4 linked regions of the Xenopus tropicalis genome follow. The protein of the gene in region 1 binds, or shares a complex with, the protein of each later gene. Links are inferred from orthologs where the notes say so. Each region holds a gene or a part of one and is shown in the gene's direction. Other genes may lie near its edges. The genes, in order: mios, wdr59, seh1l and castor1.

Region 1 (3,563 bases):
ATAAGCAGCAAGTATACTCCAGAGGTAGCAGTTCCTACGGAGAAAGTCCGTCTTGCACCCGGTGATAGTGAAACATGTTCAGTGGTTACCAAACCACTTTATGAATTAGGACAGAATGATGCTTCCCTCTCTCTTTGTTGGCTTCCGAGAGACCAGAAACTGCTTTTGGCTGGGATGCATCGTAACTTGGCAATATTTGATTTGAGGAATACAAATCAGAAAATTTTTGTAAATACTAAAGCTGTCCAAGGGGTGACAGTGGACCCGCATTTCCATGACAGAGTAGCTTCATTTTTTGAAGGTCAAGTCGCCATTTGGGATCTTCGAAAATTTGAAAAACCAGTGTTAACGTTAACAGAGCAACCAAAACCCCTAACCAAAGTAGCCTGGTGCCCAACTAGAACTGGACTGCTGGCTACTCTGACTAGAGACAGTAATATTATCAGACTGTATGACATGCAGCACACTCCCACACCCATTGGGGACGAAACAGAGCCTACCATCATTGAAAGGAGTGTCCAGCCTTGTGATAACTATATTGCATCTTTTGCTTGGCACCCTACAAGCCAAAACCGAATGGTGGTCGTTACTCCTAACAGGTCAATGTCAGATTTTACTGTGTTTGAGAGGATCTCTTTGGCTTGGAGCCCCACAACTTCACTGATGTGGGCTTGCAGCAGGCAGCTGTATGAATGTACAGAGGAAGGGAAATGCAGCTCTTCATTAGATCGAGATATAGCCACTAAAATGAGACTCAGAGCTTTATCACGATATGGACTCGACACAGAGCAGGTCTGGAGAAATCATCTGTTGGCAGGAAATGATGATCCTCAGTTGAAATCCTTGTGGTACACTTTACACTATATCCTTTTTTAGTTCTGTAATATTAATTACTAGTTGTTATTTAGACCATCTGATTTTGTAGGGCCACAGAACTGATGACTGGGGTCACAAGTGGCAGTGAGGGTCATCAGCACTAGAATGTTGAGTGCAAGTCGCTTACTGATCTAATATCTGGCATCCTCAAACTATGGGCCGCAGGCCGGATATGGCCCCCAAGGTAATTTACCCGGCCCCCACTCTGATCTGATGCGAGGACGTAGGGGAACCCGGAGGACACAGGGGGGAGCGGGAGCATGCGGGGGGGGGGAGCCGGAGGATCAGAGGATGTGGGGGGGGGGAGCCAGAGGACGCGGGGGGGAGCCGGAGGAAGCAGGGGAGAGTAGGAGGACGCAGCCGGGAGGGGGCCATAGTATGAGGACACGGGGGGAGGAATTAAGTCCCCCCCCAACAGTCTGAGGGACCATGAACTGGCCCCCTGCTTAAAAAGTTTGAGGACCCCTGCTCTAAATAGTCAGCAGCAATGGGCATGCTCAGTTCTAGATACCTTAAATAATCTGCCCAGTATTTGCATCACTACTTACTGTTTTCATGCTTACAATTCCTATATACATCAACACTTATGAAGCAGTATGCAGAAGATATTGACCAAAAAACTTCAGGAAACAAAGGGTTATTGGTGTATGCTGGAATCAAAGCAATCACAAAGTCATCAATGGGTAAGGTCAATTATGAATACTTTGGTTTTTATAACCTACGTGCCTGGAACACTGACCAAAGCTGGACTTGTTATTAAGTGGGTGGCATAAATCTAAAGTTTAATTTCCCAAAGAAAGTGTAGTGACTGATACGTTTGCAGCTCCTGTACAAGCACACACAGAATGAATTAATATTCCTGTTTATGCACTAATTATTAAGTTCAGTGCTGATGCAGATGTCTTAAAAATACATTGAACAAAACATTGTACCGCTTACCTAGTTTACAACTTATAAGGAATGTAAATACTTTACAAACAGATATAAGATCAAGGCAAATATAAGTATTTCTTTTCTGCTAAAGCTGGCAGTATTGTTAATCCTCTCCATTGGCACTTTGACAAAGTTGACATGGGGGATTGTGATTGGTGGACCCTGTTTTCATAGTAAAGACTAGAGACAGAAGGGAGGGACAGAGTAAGGCACATTCATAATGCAGACAAGGGAAGTATGTCCATAGCTCACTATTTTTATACAGCTTTTCTTCTTTTTACTGTTTAATAAATTATATTTTCAAGGGATAGTTGTGTAAAGGGAAACTAGTGCAGATGCATTCCAATTAAAGTTTTATTGTGCCCAAGGCATTATCGGTAGTTAACAAGACAAATATTAACCAGATATCTGTTCTATAAAGGGACAACTGAAAGTTTCAGGCACAGCTGGACCGGCTCTGATAGACAAGCAGATATTGTGCACTTTTCCAGTGAGGAAAGATGTCTTGCCCTACAACTTTGTGGCTGGAGGACAAAGGGTGCTGATGCCGACATGGGGCATTTTCTGAACTCCTTGGAGCAGGAAGGAGAGTGGGAGAGAGCAGCTGCTATAGCCCTGTTTAATAGAGACATTCGGCGTGCCATACAGATCTTAAATAAGGGAGCATCCACTGGGAAAGGTATGTGGCTGTTTGCCAACCCTTATGGCTAAAGGCAAGTGGGCATTTTGATCTTGGATTGCTTCCCATCGACATCATTGGAAACTGCCATTAGTCATAATACATGATGATCATTTTTGGTCAATAATTGTGACCAGCAATACGTAGGCCTTTCCACCAGCGAGTCAAGTTATACACTCACCTAAAGGTTTATTAGGAACACCTGTTCAATTTCTCATTAATGCAATTATCTAATCAACCAATCACATGGCAGTTGCTTCAATGCAATTAGGGGTGTGGTCCTGGTCAAGACAATCTCCTGAACTCCAAACTGAATGTCAGAATGGGAAAGAAAGGTGATTTAAGCAATTTTGAGCGTACAACCATTTCTAGGGTTTACAAAGAATGGTGTGAAAAGGGAAAAACATCCAGTATGTGGCAGTCCTGTGGGCGAAATGCCTTGTTGATTCTAGAGGTCAGAGAAGGGTATTAGTATGGTGTTCCTAATAATCCTTTAGGTGAGTGTATCTTCTGGCTTAAGGTCCCCATACACGGGCCGACTATAGCTGCCGATTTCGGTCCCTTGGACCGATTCGGCAGCTAATCAGCCCGTGTATGGGCAGAACAGAGCGGCCTGGCCGACCGATATCTGGCCTAAAATTGGCCAGATCTCGATCGGCCAGGTTAGAAAATCCAGTCGGATCGGGGACCGCATCGGCTCGTTGATGCGGTCCCCGAACCGACTGCCCCATAACTACAAATGTAATCCGATCGTTTCGCCCCAGGGCCAAACGATCGGATTATTTTTTTTTTAAGTTTCTTGCTACCCGATATCGCCCACCCGTAGGTGGGGATATTGGGTGAAGATCCGCTCGCTTGGCGACATCGCCAAGCGAGCGGGTCTTATAGTGTATGGGCACCTTTAAGAGGCCTTAAAATATTAAAACAGTAGAGAGTTTTTAATTGAGCTAGGGAACGGTTGATGGATGAAAGTCACTGTTAACTAACATTTTAACATAAGTGTGAGATATTGATCATTGAAGTTAACTCAGTTTTTGTAAATTGTAGGTAATCTAAACCTAAACGTTGTAGCAAT
Region 2 (4,305 bases), on another chromosome or scaffold:
TTATTTAATTAGGCTAATGTCAGACGAGGCGTCTGCCGTATATTTTCGGCAAGCGGAAAATCGATTGCCAAAATACCGCCATCTGCCTCCTACCTGTGCCTGCACCGAATGAATGTAATACGCTCAAGTGCTTTTCCGCTTGCCATAAATATATGCCAGACGCCTCGTCTGACATAAGGCTGATGCCACACGCGGCATAGGGCTGATTTTTTCGGCAAGTGGAAAAACGCTTGCTGAAAAATCAGCCCTACACCTGCTACTTGTGCCTGCACCCGAATGAATAGCAATAGCAGTATTGGGGAGCTCAACCCTCTGTTAACTTACCCAAACGGGTATCAGGTGCAAATACTGGAAGAACCTCACCTTGCATGGGGGTCAATATCCAACAGCAAAAAAATCCAGTAGCACACTGAAGATGCAAATCGTGAAAAAAATGTATTTTATTTGCCCAAGTACATAAAAACAAGCAAAGAGCAACGTTTCGGGACCCTCCGGACCCTTTCTCAAGCTTGAGAAAGGGTCCGGAGGGTCCCGAAACGTTGCTCTTTGCTTGTTTTTATGTACTTGGGCAAATAAAATACAATTTTTTCACGATTTGCATCTTCAGTGTGCTACTGGATTTTTTTGCTGCACCCGAATGAATGGGATACGCTCGGGTGCAGGCACATGTAGCCGATATACGCATGAAAACGCGAGAGAATGCAAAGTCTAGCGTTTTCATGCGTATATCGGCTACATGTGCCTGCACCTGAGCGTATCCCATTCATTCGGGTGCAGGCACAAGTAGGAGGCGTAGGGCTGAATTTTCGGCAAGCGTTTATCCGCTTGCCGAAAATTTCAGCCCTACGCTTCATGTGGCATTAGCCTTAGCCTTAAAAGCGAGAAACAATGTTTCTAAGTGCAGGTGAAGCTCAATCAGATTTCTGGGCTCTCTGCCAAAAGCTACTTTTAATTAAATTTGTATCTTTTTTTAGCTTCAGTGCAAGAGATCAAAGGGAAATGAGGGACTTTTCAGTAAGAATCTGGGACTGCGGGTTAAGCTGTCAAAAGAGGGAATGTCCTGCGAAAATCGGAACAGTTGGGAGGTATGTTGAAGCAGTAATAAATTATCCCTATTATATTGTATATTATCCCTATTATATTGTTATTGGTTTTTAAACTTCAGAGAACCACCGCTTGACCAGCAATAACTTATCAGACAAGCAAGGAGGGATCACAGCAGCAGCAGGATGAACAGATAATACGTTTCATGGTGTATATTAGTTATGACAGATCAGCCAGACCTAAATGCCAAAACTACAGCGCAATAACATTCATTTTTAGAAAGATTTATCTTAAAATTGTTCATGAACTCAGGTATGATTTTGATCTTTTGTATTCCCAGGTATAATCCTTTTTTCAAGGTTGACGAAAATCTAACTTTTATCTCCACATAAAATTTGTATTTTTAAGGCAGTGCCCTTTTCTTTTGATGTCTTCGTGTTATACACTGTTCCTTACACTTACCACATCGTCTTTAGTTTTCATGCCAATGTGAGAAAAAACTACTAGTCCCAGAATTCTCTATTCACTGGCGTTAAGGTGTTGCTCGGCGACAAGGACGTCGTGATGCAAGACGTTGTTGTTGTTATTGCGGCCGCCTGGTAAGTAGGCAAAGATGGCGGCTCACTGGAGCAGCGAGAACGTGGTGGTAGAATTTCGGGATTCGCAGGTGAGTGGAATAAATGCAGGAGCTGTGGGTTCACTGCAAATATCGAGCGCTCTAATCTGAACAACCTACAGAAAAATCGGCAGATAGAAGGGAGTGGCTTGCGCATGCCTAGTAGTAGACGCCTAATGATTGAGTCAGTTTTTAGCTGTCAGGGGAGGTAGACATGGCTCCAGTATGCCTGGACTTCTCTTTACAATTAGTTTTATAGTGTTTTGTATATTCAGGAGGCCATTAAGTGCAATTGTCAGATTGTTGACCTATTAAATAATGTGATCTACTGTTCAGTATATATATATATATTTTTTTTTTTCTTTAGCTCAGTCACGTTGCTTGTCCTAGTATCTAGAATTGTAGCACAAGTTCCAAAAGGCATGTCATTTTTAGTGTGGTAAAATGAATTTGAACATTTCCTTGTTTCCGTGTTCTTTTGTTTTCTCCTGCATTCCAAAATTATAACAAGCAGGATTACTGGCTTTTAATAAAAAAAAAAAAACTAAAGATTAATCCACTCTCTCAAGGTAACAGTGCTTCACTTACACATATAGTTGCCTATTGAAGCGCTGGGTGTAAAACTATGATCCCCTCTGCCCAGGGTCACTCCTTGTAGAAAGAAAGAAAGCCTCAGCAGCACGTAATGATGAAACAAAGGCGATTTATTCGGGCCACAAGTAAGGCAACATTTTGGGCTCTACAAGCGCTATTAAGCCTTAAAAGGCTTGATAAAGGGCTGGAAGAGCCTGAAACATTTCCTTACTTGTAGCACAAATATATCACCTTTGTTTCACCAAAGTGATCTATGCTCTTATACAGAGTTAATGAGAAATTCTTTAATCAAAATAAAATTTGCAGTGTTTTCTCTCCATCCCTCAGTGATAATTCGCAAGAGTGGCAAAATGCTGCCCCCCTAAGACTCTTGAAAGCAGCAGTATATATGTATACTGAATATATATGTGTTCTAGTGCCTAGCATGTTAAACAAGCAACCATAGAAAGAAGTATCTTGTAACAAAACCAGTACATAAAAAATGATTTTATTCAAGGTTTCATATTAAAATGTCAGTATACATACAAACCCTAGTATCTCCATGGAGTGTGTATATTTTTCCTGTGCTTGTATAAGTATGCCCTGAGCACTCCACTGTCCATAAGGGTGAATAATGGGACAGCTTGAAGCCTAAATTATACACTCATTAGGTTTTAATCTGGGCCCATCCATTACACTATATAAGGTAATCCTAGTTACTGCCCTAATAGCTTTGTATTGTTGTTTTATTTCTGTAAAAAATATTTTTTTCATCCTGGTCACAAAAAGAAAATATAAAATAAATCCACTATAAATGTATTATTTATTATGTAAAGAATCATAACTTGCAAATATGTAATGTTTTTATAGGCAACTGCTATGTCAGTCGATTGCCAAGGACAGCTTGCTGTACTTTCTGGGTAAGTTTGTTTCCAGGAAAAAAATAGTGTGCATAGTGTATTTATACATTTATTGATATAGCACTGTGCTGATTACACAGAGCTGAGACATCAGTGACCAGTTCAAGAGTAGTGCATTTGTTTTATGGATCTCTGTCTGTATAAATTGCCAGGATTTTTAAGATTGAAAGATTCAAAAGAACTTACATTCTAACTACGGAACTAAGGGACCTTTGGACAGTGGGGCACTTATTTAGGTTTCTGTTATAAGAACCAATATCTGGTTTAAGGCATTCTGAGTGCACTACTTATATCTTACTTTATCAGAATGCACATTTGCATCAGCAACTAAACAAAATGTAAAACAAAAAAAAAAAGCTTTTTGATTATTTTGTCTTTTAATACAGTAATTCTTGTGCCCGTGCAAGTGTGCATATTTGCTATAAAATTTGTTCTATTCACTTTTGCACCATGCTGGTTTGTACTGATATTGGTTTATATAAAACCAATATTAACCTTAAGCTGGCCATACACGCACCGATAATGTACAAAACCTCGCTTCGTACGATATTCGGTGCGTGTATAGCAAGTCGGCAAGTCGACCGATATCGCAGGAGGCTGCTGATATCGGTCGACTCGCCGATCGGCCAGGTTAAAATATTTTGATCGGGCGCCATAGAAGGCGCCTGATCAAAATCTGCCTTCAGGGCTGAATCGGCAGAAGGAGGTAGAAATCCTATTGTTTCTACCTCCTTATCTGCCGTTTCAGCCGTGAATGGTTAGTGGTTGATTGTACGATCTTTCGTGCGACCATCGGTCGGCTTCGGCACATGGTATGCGGCGGTGCGGACGAAAAGACACCGCGCACGGGCGCACACGACCGAACGTACGCCGCTCACGGGCACCCCGCGACTGACGCTGCACGCATGCGAGTTTCGAATTTAAGGACGCTGAGGCCTGTACACTTTGCGAAGTGATCATTTTTGCTTGCAATCGTCACCGATCATTTCTGGTATTCCTGATTGATCCTTGGACTTCTGATTTCAGCTTGCTTCTGACTACTCTTCGGTTACCCCTTGGCTTGACTTCGGACTCTGACTTCTGATTTGACCCCGGCCTGTTTTATGATCTTCTCTTCTGCATTTGGTGCCTGATTTTGTGTATTCACCTGGG
Region 3 (3,563 bases), about 69 Mb from region 1:
AGTTGGGAGCGCACACGGCAGAAATCCAACAAGCTGTTTTGTTTGGATGAGCTGTTAAGTATTAGGGTGATATTCAGCCACGCTGGGTGACAAGTTGCACAGCTCTGAAGTCAATGGGAAGCAGACTGTGGTGGACATCAGGTATTTTTTTTACCGCGCTACAAATATAGACAATCAAAATGTTCCATGTGAAAATAGTCTAAGTCCCCATTATGGGCCACTTAGACAATAGAAAGCTCTCTGGAGGAGCAAACAGCTATTTAGTAGCTTGAAGGCAGCATTACGGGCTGTTCAACCAAGGTTTGGGCCTCACAGCAGGATGGGAACGCACACAGCAGGATGGGAGAGCACACAGGGGAGCGCACACAGCAGGTTGGCAAGTACTTAGTATGGCAGCTTTCTTAGCCTTCCCAAACTTGCCTGACAGTTAAAAAAAAAAAAAAAAAAAAACAACAAAGCAGTAGGAGCTGCATTTCCCACCCTAGGCTTATACTTGAGTCAATAAATTTTTCCAGTTTTCTTAGGTAAAATTAGGTACCTCGGCGATCGGCTTATACTAGAGTATATACGGTAAATAAACTGTTTCGTATGTGTTTAATTTTAATATACTGCTGCCTTGCACTTACTGGTGTATTAAACAGGACATTTCTTGTCTGGAAATAGTTTTTCTAGATGTTCAATCAACAGATACTAACTAGGGCCTAATTTGCTAGTCCTTTTTTAAAGGGACAGTATAATGAAAGGAAATGTCTCCATTGCCATTAAACAGAGCAAAAGGTTTAGTGATTGGGTACTACTGGGAAAAGCTGCCATGCTTCAATAATGAAAAAAAGTTTATTAGTTATTACAGTATTATGAGTGGCGGATTAATAGCTGTTGCTACCCTATGCAATTGTTGCATGCTTAATACTGTAAATGTGCATGTGCCAGTTGGTGGAAATTGGGTACTCAGCCCCTCATCTTGTTTGTTAATTTAGCCACTAGAATCTAGTGGTGGTCTGGAGCTTTAAAAAGAAAATGCTATATACACCTCTGCTACTGCTCTAGGCACAAACCTTGTGTGCTTGCATAGAAAACACAGCCCTCAATATTAGCATGCTATTCCTAAACGCACACATATTTAAATACACTGTATTTAATGCACAGAGCAGTCGGAGCAGCTTGTAATTTACTTTAACCTTTGTATTCTGGAAGGAAAATGTTATTTTTGTCTTGTTCTTAAGACCCACAGTGGTTCAGTATGGCGGGTAACATGGGCTCACCCAGAATTCGGCCAGGTATTAGCCTCATGTTCGTTTGACAGAACTGCTGCAGTGTGGGAAGAAATAGTTGGTGAATCAAATGATAAACTGCGCGGACAGAGTCATTGGGTAAGACCTATTGTCAGATATATGAGCACATTTTTCCCAGTATTGAGCTTGTTTGAAAACTGTATATATGATTATATGATAATTATATTTTGATTGCACCTTTTCAATATACACCTGGATGTGCATCATTTTTGTCTATATATAACATCATGAGTGTTCAACTGGAAGATTTGTAATTTACCCCAGTATGTACAGTCTGAAAAATGTGGGCAGTCCTTTCCAAATTAAATATTTAGTAAATTTATAGTAAACAAATACAGTTGAATCAGAAACCGCATATTTGCAAACATTAATTCACAGATCCATTTTATTTTGCAAACTTTAAAGCATAGAGAAGTATAAACAAATGCAAGAAATTATGGCATGTGCAAAGGTTTGGACACCCTTTCACCTGACCCTAATTACCCCATTAGGCCTTAATATCTATTAGGAGTTGTCAACTGTTAACATTTGAATAGCATAATGAAATCTCTGTTAGTCAACAATCATGGACTCCATAATGCAACTGTGCGAACATCTGACAAAGTTAATTGTCGCCATGTCATCAAGAAATGGCAGGGGAAGGGGAACTGTGGAAGTCTAGAGACAATCTGACAGAGCAAGATTAAGAGCAAGACTGGTGTTGCATAGTTTCATGGCACAGCACTGCTTACACAAACATGATCTGCATGGAAGAGTCATCAAAGGAAAGCTTAACCTTCAACTTCATCACAAACATCAACATCTAAGCTAAGGAATACAAAACAGTGATCTTTTAAAGTGCTGTGAACTAAAGTAAAAATTAACTCTTTGGCCACTCTCAAAGGTTTGTTTGGAATAAAAAGAAGCAGAATTTGATGACTAAGAAACACATTGGCAACTTTTAAAGGGATAGTGATGTTCAATATTTCAGCAGAAATGTGTCACTATGCCTAAATAAACCCTAATGTCAATCATTTTTTTAATGGAGGTCTCCAACACCAACAGAAAACAAAAGTTGTTTGGTGACTCTATACACTGCTTTATCAATAGGTTAAAAGCTAGAGGTGGCATAGCGCTGACTTTTTGAGCAGCATCCAAATTAAGGGGAAATGTATGTTTGGTCACCATTATTTATTTATTCTGATTCTGCTTTAGGTTAAAAGAACAACACTAGTGGACAGCAGGACATCTGTAACCGATGTAAAGTTTGCTCCAAAACACATGGGTCTGATGCTGGCAACCTGCTCTGCAGATGGAGTGGTGAGAATATATGAGGCCCCTGATGTTATGAACCTCAGTCAGTGGTCCCTGCAGCATGAAATCTCATGCAAACTGAGCTGCAGTTGTATCTCTTGGAATCCCTCTAGGTTAGTTATAAACAATTTACTTTGTTACATCTCTGAATGTGTATATGAAAATAGGAAAGCAAATGAGACTTTGCAGACTATTTACATCAGTGGTTACATAAGTGCTACTTATGCTAGATCTACTCATGTCAAGGAGCATTACATATATGACAAACTAAAGCTTTGCTGAAATGTTAAAGGGAACTATTGTTAAAATTGAAATTTCATATGAGCTTTCTAAATATAATCAGCTAAACATTGGGTATAGTTGCAAAATAAACTTTGTAAATGTTACAAATTTAGTATTAAGTTTTACTAGACATGTAAAGAGGCAGTATTCTTCCGTATTCAACACGCATTTAGTGAATAGATAAACATAATATTTAACAAAGGTTTTCTTCATACAAATACATTTTTTAACTCTCTGGTTCATGCAGGAAGTTTTGCGAGGGAAAGAAGGTAGTTAGTCGGATTAGCAGTTTACAGATAAAACGGCTGATTAGAGCTTTGTTACATTAGGAATTTTCTCCACCAGTGCATCTATGCATCCTATACACTGTGCTATAATTTGCTGAAATGGCAGCTTTAAAGCAAAATACCTATTGGTACCTTTTAATGAAAAATAAAATATGAATGTTCACTTATTAAATTATTAGCATTTCATATTTAAATTAAGGTTTGTTTCATATTATGAATCAAACATTTTATTTATTCTTTTATTTGGTTGTTTTAGCTCCCGAGCCCATTCTCCTATGATTGCTGTAGGCAGTGACGACAGCAGCCCAAATATCATGGGAAAAGTACAGATCTATGAATATAATGAGAACACAAGGTATCGAATACAAAAAAGTTTTCGTACTGTGCGTATTTTTTGCGACTTTTTCGT
Region 4 (4,233 bases), on another chromosome or scaffold:
GAATTGCCATCAAACGTATGCTTAAGCACTGTATTCAGTACATATGCTCAACATAGAATCCAATGACAATTGAGAAGAGCAGCTTTGATGTTTGCACCTTGGTCACTCACAAACACAATTTTGGAATATAACTTGGATGTAATGCCATATTCAGACAGTTCTTTGTTAATCTGCCCAGTAAGATTTTCAGCTGTTTTAGAAACTCCTGCCTCAAATTCGGATAATGCAATGACTTTGGCTTTTAATAGCCAGGTATTGACTACATGTAAAAAGTGGCAAGTTAGCACAGTATATGCCTGTTTATGGTGTTTGTCAGTCCACATATCAGTAGTGATTGCTATGCCATCTTCTAGTGCTTTTCTAATTTAGCTGTTTCTACAGCCTTCTTACATATAGTATTTCTGTGGGGAAGAATCATATCTGCACTAACAGATCCATAGGTAGCACCAATATTAATAAGTGACTGGGCAAAGCGCTTAAATCCTTCCTGTCACAATATCAAAAGGCCTAATATCCATACAGTACAAATCAACACATGAATCTAACAACTGTAATTTGACATTTACTGGAATTTTAGATACATCTTTTAGAAAGTATGACACTATAGGCTTTGTTGTTGCTGGCTCTGCTATGTAAGGAGAAGATGCTGCAGTGGTTCTACCTGTGGAACTTTGCCCACATATGTGTCTGCTTAGATTAGAAGTACCAGTCTTGTGACTGTCATATTTATAAAGTGCTTTGCATTTCACACAGCTTACATAGCCTTTGTATTTACATTTGTCTGCGCTAACTACCTCCCCCAAATTGTTTCCACACTATAGATTTCTGCATCTTTTTTCTGTTGTACTTTAAGTTCTCCACTTTGCAACAAATCACATGTATTTTTAATGTCACAAGCAGGTGGGATTTTCCTGGTGTGCCTTTGAGCTACTAGTACTAGATCAAGCTGAAGACATGTTTATTGTTGCTGCTCTCAAACCTTGCAAACCTGAAGAGGCAGAGAATGTTTGGGAGGCGAGGCGGTTCCATGACGTTATGGGCGGGGCCACAATAAATTCTATTGCTGATTGAGCAGCTGGGCGGGCAACAAACCACAGGGGGCGTGTATAAGGCTGCTCTCTCCTCTGAACAGTAATTGCTGGCAGTAAGGCACTGGCTGCCTGTGATACAGCATCAGGAAAGGCTTTGCGGGCAATAAAATTACAATGATAGGCAGTCGAGTAGCTGACTACCAGAGAGGGAACGATGCACACACTACTAGAACGTCTCTACTATTTAATGAAAAGTGTAAATTTGCCCTCAGTCCCTAACTTCTGCAGCTTCTCGCCCCTCCCCTTTCCCCACATCAATCAATGTTTTTTCCCTCAGTGAGCGATCTGCTATCCGTACCGCCCCCCCTCTGGTTCCTGTTACTGTCTGTTCAGCCTCTTCCATCCCATGGCCTGCAATACCTTCCAAGAATATCAGGTACCCGACCCGCACCCGCCATGAACATCCAATATTCGGGCCGAACCCACTGGGTTTCGGGTCAGCCGGCACATCACCCTGTGTGTCACTATGAGCCCGGCCCATGCTACTGATTGACACATCCCTTCCTAGCAAGGCCACGCCCCGTGGAGCACGCTGTGGGTCTCGGCTGGGTGTCCGTGCAATGGATCTACAGCTGCTGGAGCATCGGGTGCGAGTGACCAGCATTGAGAAGTGTGGCCTGTGGTTCTACACCCACCCGCTGGTCAAACTACTGTTCCTGAGGCAGCGCACCAGGTATATAAAGAACACACGGGCGGGGAGAGAGCCAAAGCTGCTGGGCTGTGGTACTCGGGGAGAGAGAGCACTATTGCCCCTAACACTGGCAGCACCAGCTGCATATGAGTGAGGAAGGGACCTGCACTGTAGATCATTTACGAGTTGCACGGCTTGCCCGACTAGTCCTAGAACTTGGCCGATGGTTCAGTCTCATTGCATTGCATTGCATCAGGGAACCATGTGGGGCAAGGACTGCACTTGCACTTGCCTTTGCCTTTTGATTTCATCCTCACTAGCGGTTAGTGTGGTTGCTATTGGTTACTGCACCTGTCTAATATCTGCACCTACAGTGCTGGCATCCTGCAACCTGTGCCTGGTATCCTTGCTGTCCTGCCATTGTGGGTAGGGTTCTCCTACAGCTGTTGCACTACAAATCCTAGCAGCATCCACTGAGCTCCTGAAGCTGTAGTCACATGGTGGGAGTTGTAATTGAACAACAGTTGGGCAGCTCATTTAGGGGCATGAATTGCACAGGCCAGGCAGCATGTTCTGAGTTTGGCTTGCTGCCCCTGGCAGTTTCCTGACATTCAGTCTATGTGAGAGCGTTTTATCAGCTGTGACCACTTGCTTCTATTCTGTAATGCACCGACTGATTAGTATTGGGCTCTGCATCCAGTGTGAGTGTGATGATGGGCATAGAGAAACTAGTTATGCCTGCATGCCCTGCTGTTGTGTTCCAGATCCCAGTGAGATCAATAAAGCATGGTTTCCTGCAGTGTGTAATAAATATATATATATATATATATATATATATATCATAATAGGCACTGTGCTACATACAATACAAGGTTCTTGGTTAACCGTTTTTTTTTTTTTTTTTTATAAAGAATTTCTGTAAGCGATTAATGATATGACCACATTTCATAAGACATCCCAGTGCTCACATACAAAGGCATCCTATACATTTGCACAAGATTAACTGTGTGACCTACAAAGACAGACACACTCTCCTCAGTGCAAGAAAGCACTCACTGTTACACTTAAACAATTAAAAGGGGGACCTAGAGTAAAAGAAAATGTGTGCTTCATTTCCTGTTATTTATCTTATTATTTAGTTTGCTACTTTGCGTATGAGTCACTTTCCTGAAATACAGTTATGGGATCTGCTATTAAGAAAGCTGGGGACCCAAGGTTTTTGGATAAAGGGTATTAAAGGGTCTTTCTGTAGCTTGGGGCACTGTACCTTAATGCTTGCAAAAACATTAAATCAACTCAGTAGGACTGTGTTGCTACCAATATGGATTCATGCAGTTTAGTGTCAAGTACAAGCTACTGTTTTAATATTACAGAGAAAAAGGAAATGATTTAAAAAAAAAAAAAATGCTTGTTTAAATTGGACATTATGAAAATTAAAAATTTGTATGTCAAACCTTTCTGGAGAATGGCTTTTCACATTAAAGAGTCTATATCTGTACCCATATTTACTTTTAAAATATATAGAACAGCTCATTCTCTCATGTTAAAACAAGACAGGTGTTCCTGTTCTCTTGCTAGAGGGCCGGTGACGCTTATCTACTAAGCAGAGTAGGAAATGAGTTGGTATGTCTGCCATTGTGGACTGCTTGTTTTAACTTGCTGGAGAGAACAATCTGTTTCTATTATGTAGATGTTTTAACTAAAACAATTTATGTTATAGCTAAAACAATGGAGCTTGATGTGTAGTAGCAATAGAAGCACACTCTCTTCTGGCTATAGATTGCACTTAGTGTAAAGTGATCCCATTCAGGGCTAGGTATCAAGTGGTGCTAAATCAAATCTAATAGTACTATTTGATGCAAAATTAACCCTGATTTATCTTAAATTGGAAATCTGCCCTGTACTGGACACATACCACCTGGATATGTTCCATTTGCTCCATATGTTGCTGTCCCATGTGATAAGTAACATTTTTCCATGGCAGTTTTATGTACTGGCTTTCTGAGCTGGAAATGGCTGTAACCTGGTTACTGCAGAAATTATACACCTGTCGCAAATGGATGTGCTTGTTCTTCCTGTGTGAGGCTATTTAAGGGAATATAGCATGTGGAGCTTTCTGATAACACCAGTGTAAAATGCAAGATACAAGCTGCACACATCAGTGGGGGTGTGCAACAGGTCTCCCCAAACCATCTCTTAAGATTGTGGTGGTGCATTGCAAGTGCGCCTTTCAGCTCTCAGTTGATCTCTGTTAGGGGTGATCATTTGGTGGCATTGGGGTTTTTCAAAGCAAGAAGTAGCAGAAGACTGCCTAACTGAGTTGGGATTTGATGGAATCTATACCTATCAGTAGACATGTTACATGTTAGTAGAAAAATGCCTACTGGGAAAATAGTCAGTAGGCCTATATTTGTGGGAAAGCCATTATGGTTTAGGCTCAGAGAATTACTGAATCCATTGATATACATTGAATTAGCAGTACATTTTCCATTACTTAAAAGGAGTTGTTCA

Evidence for each region.
Region 2: the proteins of mios (region 1) and wdr59 are in contact, whole or in part, in a cryo-EM structure (PDB 7UHY), measured with the Homo sapiens proteins. The link is inferred for Xenopus tropicalis from reciprocal best matches to the Homo sapiens genes MIOS and WDR59. Residues at the interface, in NP_001357005.1 of Homo sapiens: Asp705, Trp710, His711, Arg713, Ala714, Ile718, Ser721, Lys728, Pro729, Leu730, Ala731, Gln732, Val733, Phe734, Val735, Ser736, Cys737, Asn738, Phe739, Ile744, Lys780, Pro781, Leu782, Pro783, Leu787, Cys788, Leu789, Gly793, Pro795, Gln819; in NP_085058.3 of Homo sapiens: Tyr871, Arg876, Glu877, Arg879, Ala880, Glu881, Leu883, Lys884, Pro889, Pro890, His893, Lys894, Gly895, Ile896, Glu897, Phe898, Gly899, Val900, Tyr901, Arg906, Glu908, Val909, Arg910, Thr912, Phe922, Gln923, Ala925, Ile926, Cys927, His928.
Region 3: the proteins of mios (region 1) and seh1l are in contact, whole or in part, in a cryo-EM structure (PDB 7UHY), measured with the Homo sapiens proteins. The link is inferred for Xenopus tropicalis from reciprocal best matches to the Homo sapiens genes MIOS and SEH1L. Residues at the interface, in NP_001357005.1 of Homo sapiens: Arg279, Arg316, Ser317, Phe353, Glu354, Arg355, Ile356, Ser357, Leu358, Ala359, Trp360, Pro362, Leu366, Met367, Trp368, Ala369, Cys370, Gly371, Arg372, Leu374, Tyr375, Glu376, Cys377, Thr378, Glu379, Glu380, Glu387, Asp389, Ile390, Ala391; in NP_112493.2 of Homo sapiens: Met1, Phe2, Val3, Ala4, Arg5, Ser6, Ile7, Ala9, His11, Lys12, Asp13, Leu14, Ile15, His16, Asp17, Val18, Phe20, Phe22, His23, Gly24, Arg25, Met27, Trp47, Ser173, Ser174, Ser175, Asn230, Leu231, Gly232, Arg233.
Region 4: the proteins of mios (region 1) and castor1 are in contact, whole or in part, in a cryo-EM structure (PDB 9LVK), measured with the Homo sapiens proteins. The link is inferred for Xenopus tropicalis from reciprocal best matches to the Homo sapiens genes MIOS and CASTOR1. Residues at the interface, in NP_001357005.1 of Homo sapiens: Ala83, Asn84, Val109, Pro110, Lys111, His112, Ala113, Arg114, Asp134, Lys135, His136, Arg137, Asn184; in NP_001032755.1 of Homo sapiens: Val94, Ser116, Thr117, Tyr118, Gln119, Thr120, Asp121, Thr188, Tyr236, Leu255, Thr256, Ser257, Ser258, Ala295, Tyr296.

What each region holds. Positions count from the first base shown.
Region 1 is NC_030682.2:34,373,302-34,376,864, forward strand, and holds part of mios (GATOR complex protein MIOS), read left to right. Parts: coding exon 1-862; intron 863-1,460; coding exon 1,461-1,559; intron 1,560-2,230; coding exon 2,231-2,488; intron 2,489-3,535; coding exon 3,536-3,563. UniProt on the Homo sapiens protein: As a component of the GATOR2 complex, functions as an activator of the amino acid-sensing branch of the mTORC1 signaling pathway. The GATOR2 complex indirectly activates mTORC1 through the inhibition of the GATOR1 subcomplex.
Region 2 is NC_030680.2:74,564,597-74,568,901, forward strand, and holds the start of wdr59 (GATOR complex protein WDR59), read left to right. Parts: upstream 1-1,475; 5' UTR 1,476-1,657; coding exon 1,658-1,711; intron 1,712-3,103; coding exon 3,104-3,153; intron 3,154-4,305. UniProt on the Homo sapiens protein: As a component of the GATOR2 complex, functions as an activator of the amino acid-sensing branch of the mTORC1 signaling pathway. The GATOR2 complex indirectly activates mTORC1 through the inhibition of the GATOR1 subcomplex.
Region 3 is NC_030682.2:103,472,766-103,476,328, reverse strand, and holds part of seh1l (nucleoporin SEH1), read left to right. Parts: intron 1-1,223; coding exon 1,224-1,370; intron 1,371-2,486; coding exon 2,487-2,698; intron 2,699-3,410; coding exon 3,411-3,509; intron 3,510-3,563. UniProt on the Homo sapiens protein: Component of the Nup107-160 subcomplex of the nuclear pore complex (NPC). The Nup107-160 subcomplex is required for the assembly of a functional NPC.
Region 4 is NC_030677.2:144,403,165-144,407,397, forward strand, and holds the start of castor1 (GATS-like protein 3), read left to right. Parts: upstream 1-1,414; 5' UTR 1,415-1,651; coding exon 1,652-1,764; intron 1,765-4,233. UniProt on the Homo sapiens protein: Functions as an intracellular arginine sensor within the amino acid-sensing branch of the TORC1 signaling pathway. As a homodimer or a heterodimer with CASTOR2, binds and inhibits the GATOR subcomplex GATOR2 and thereby mTORC1.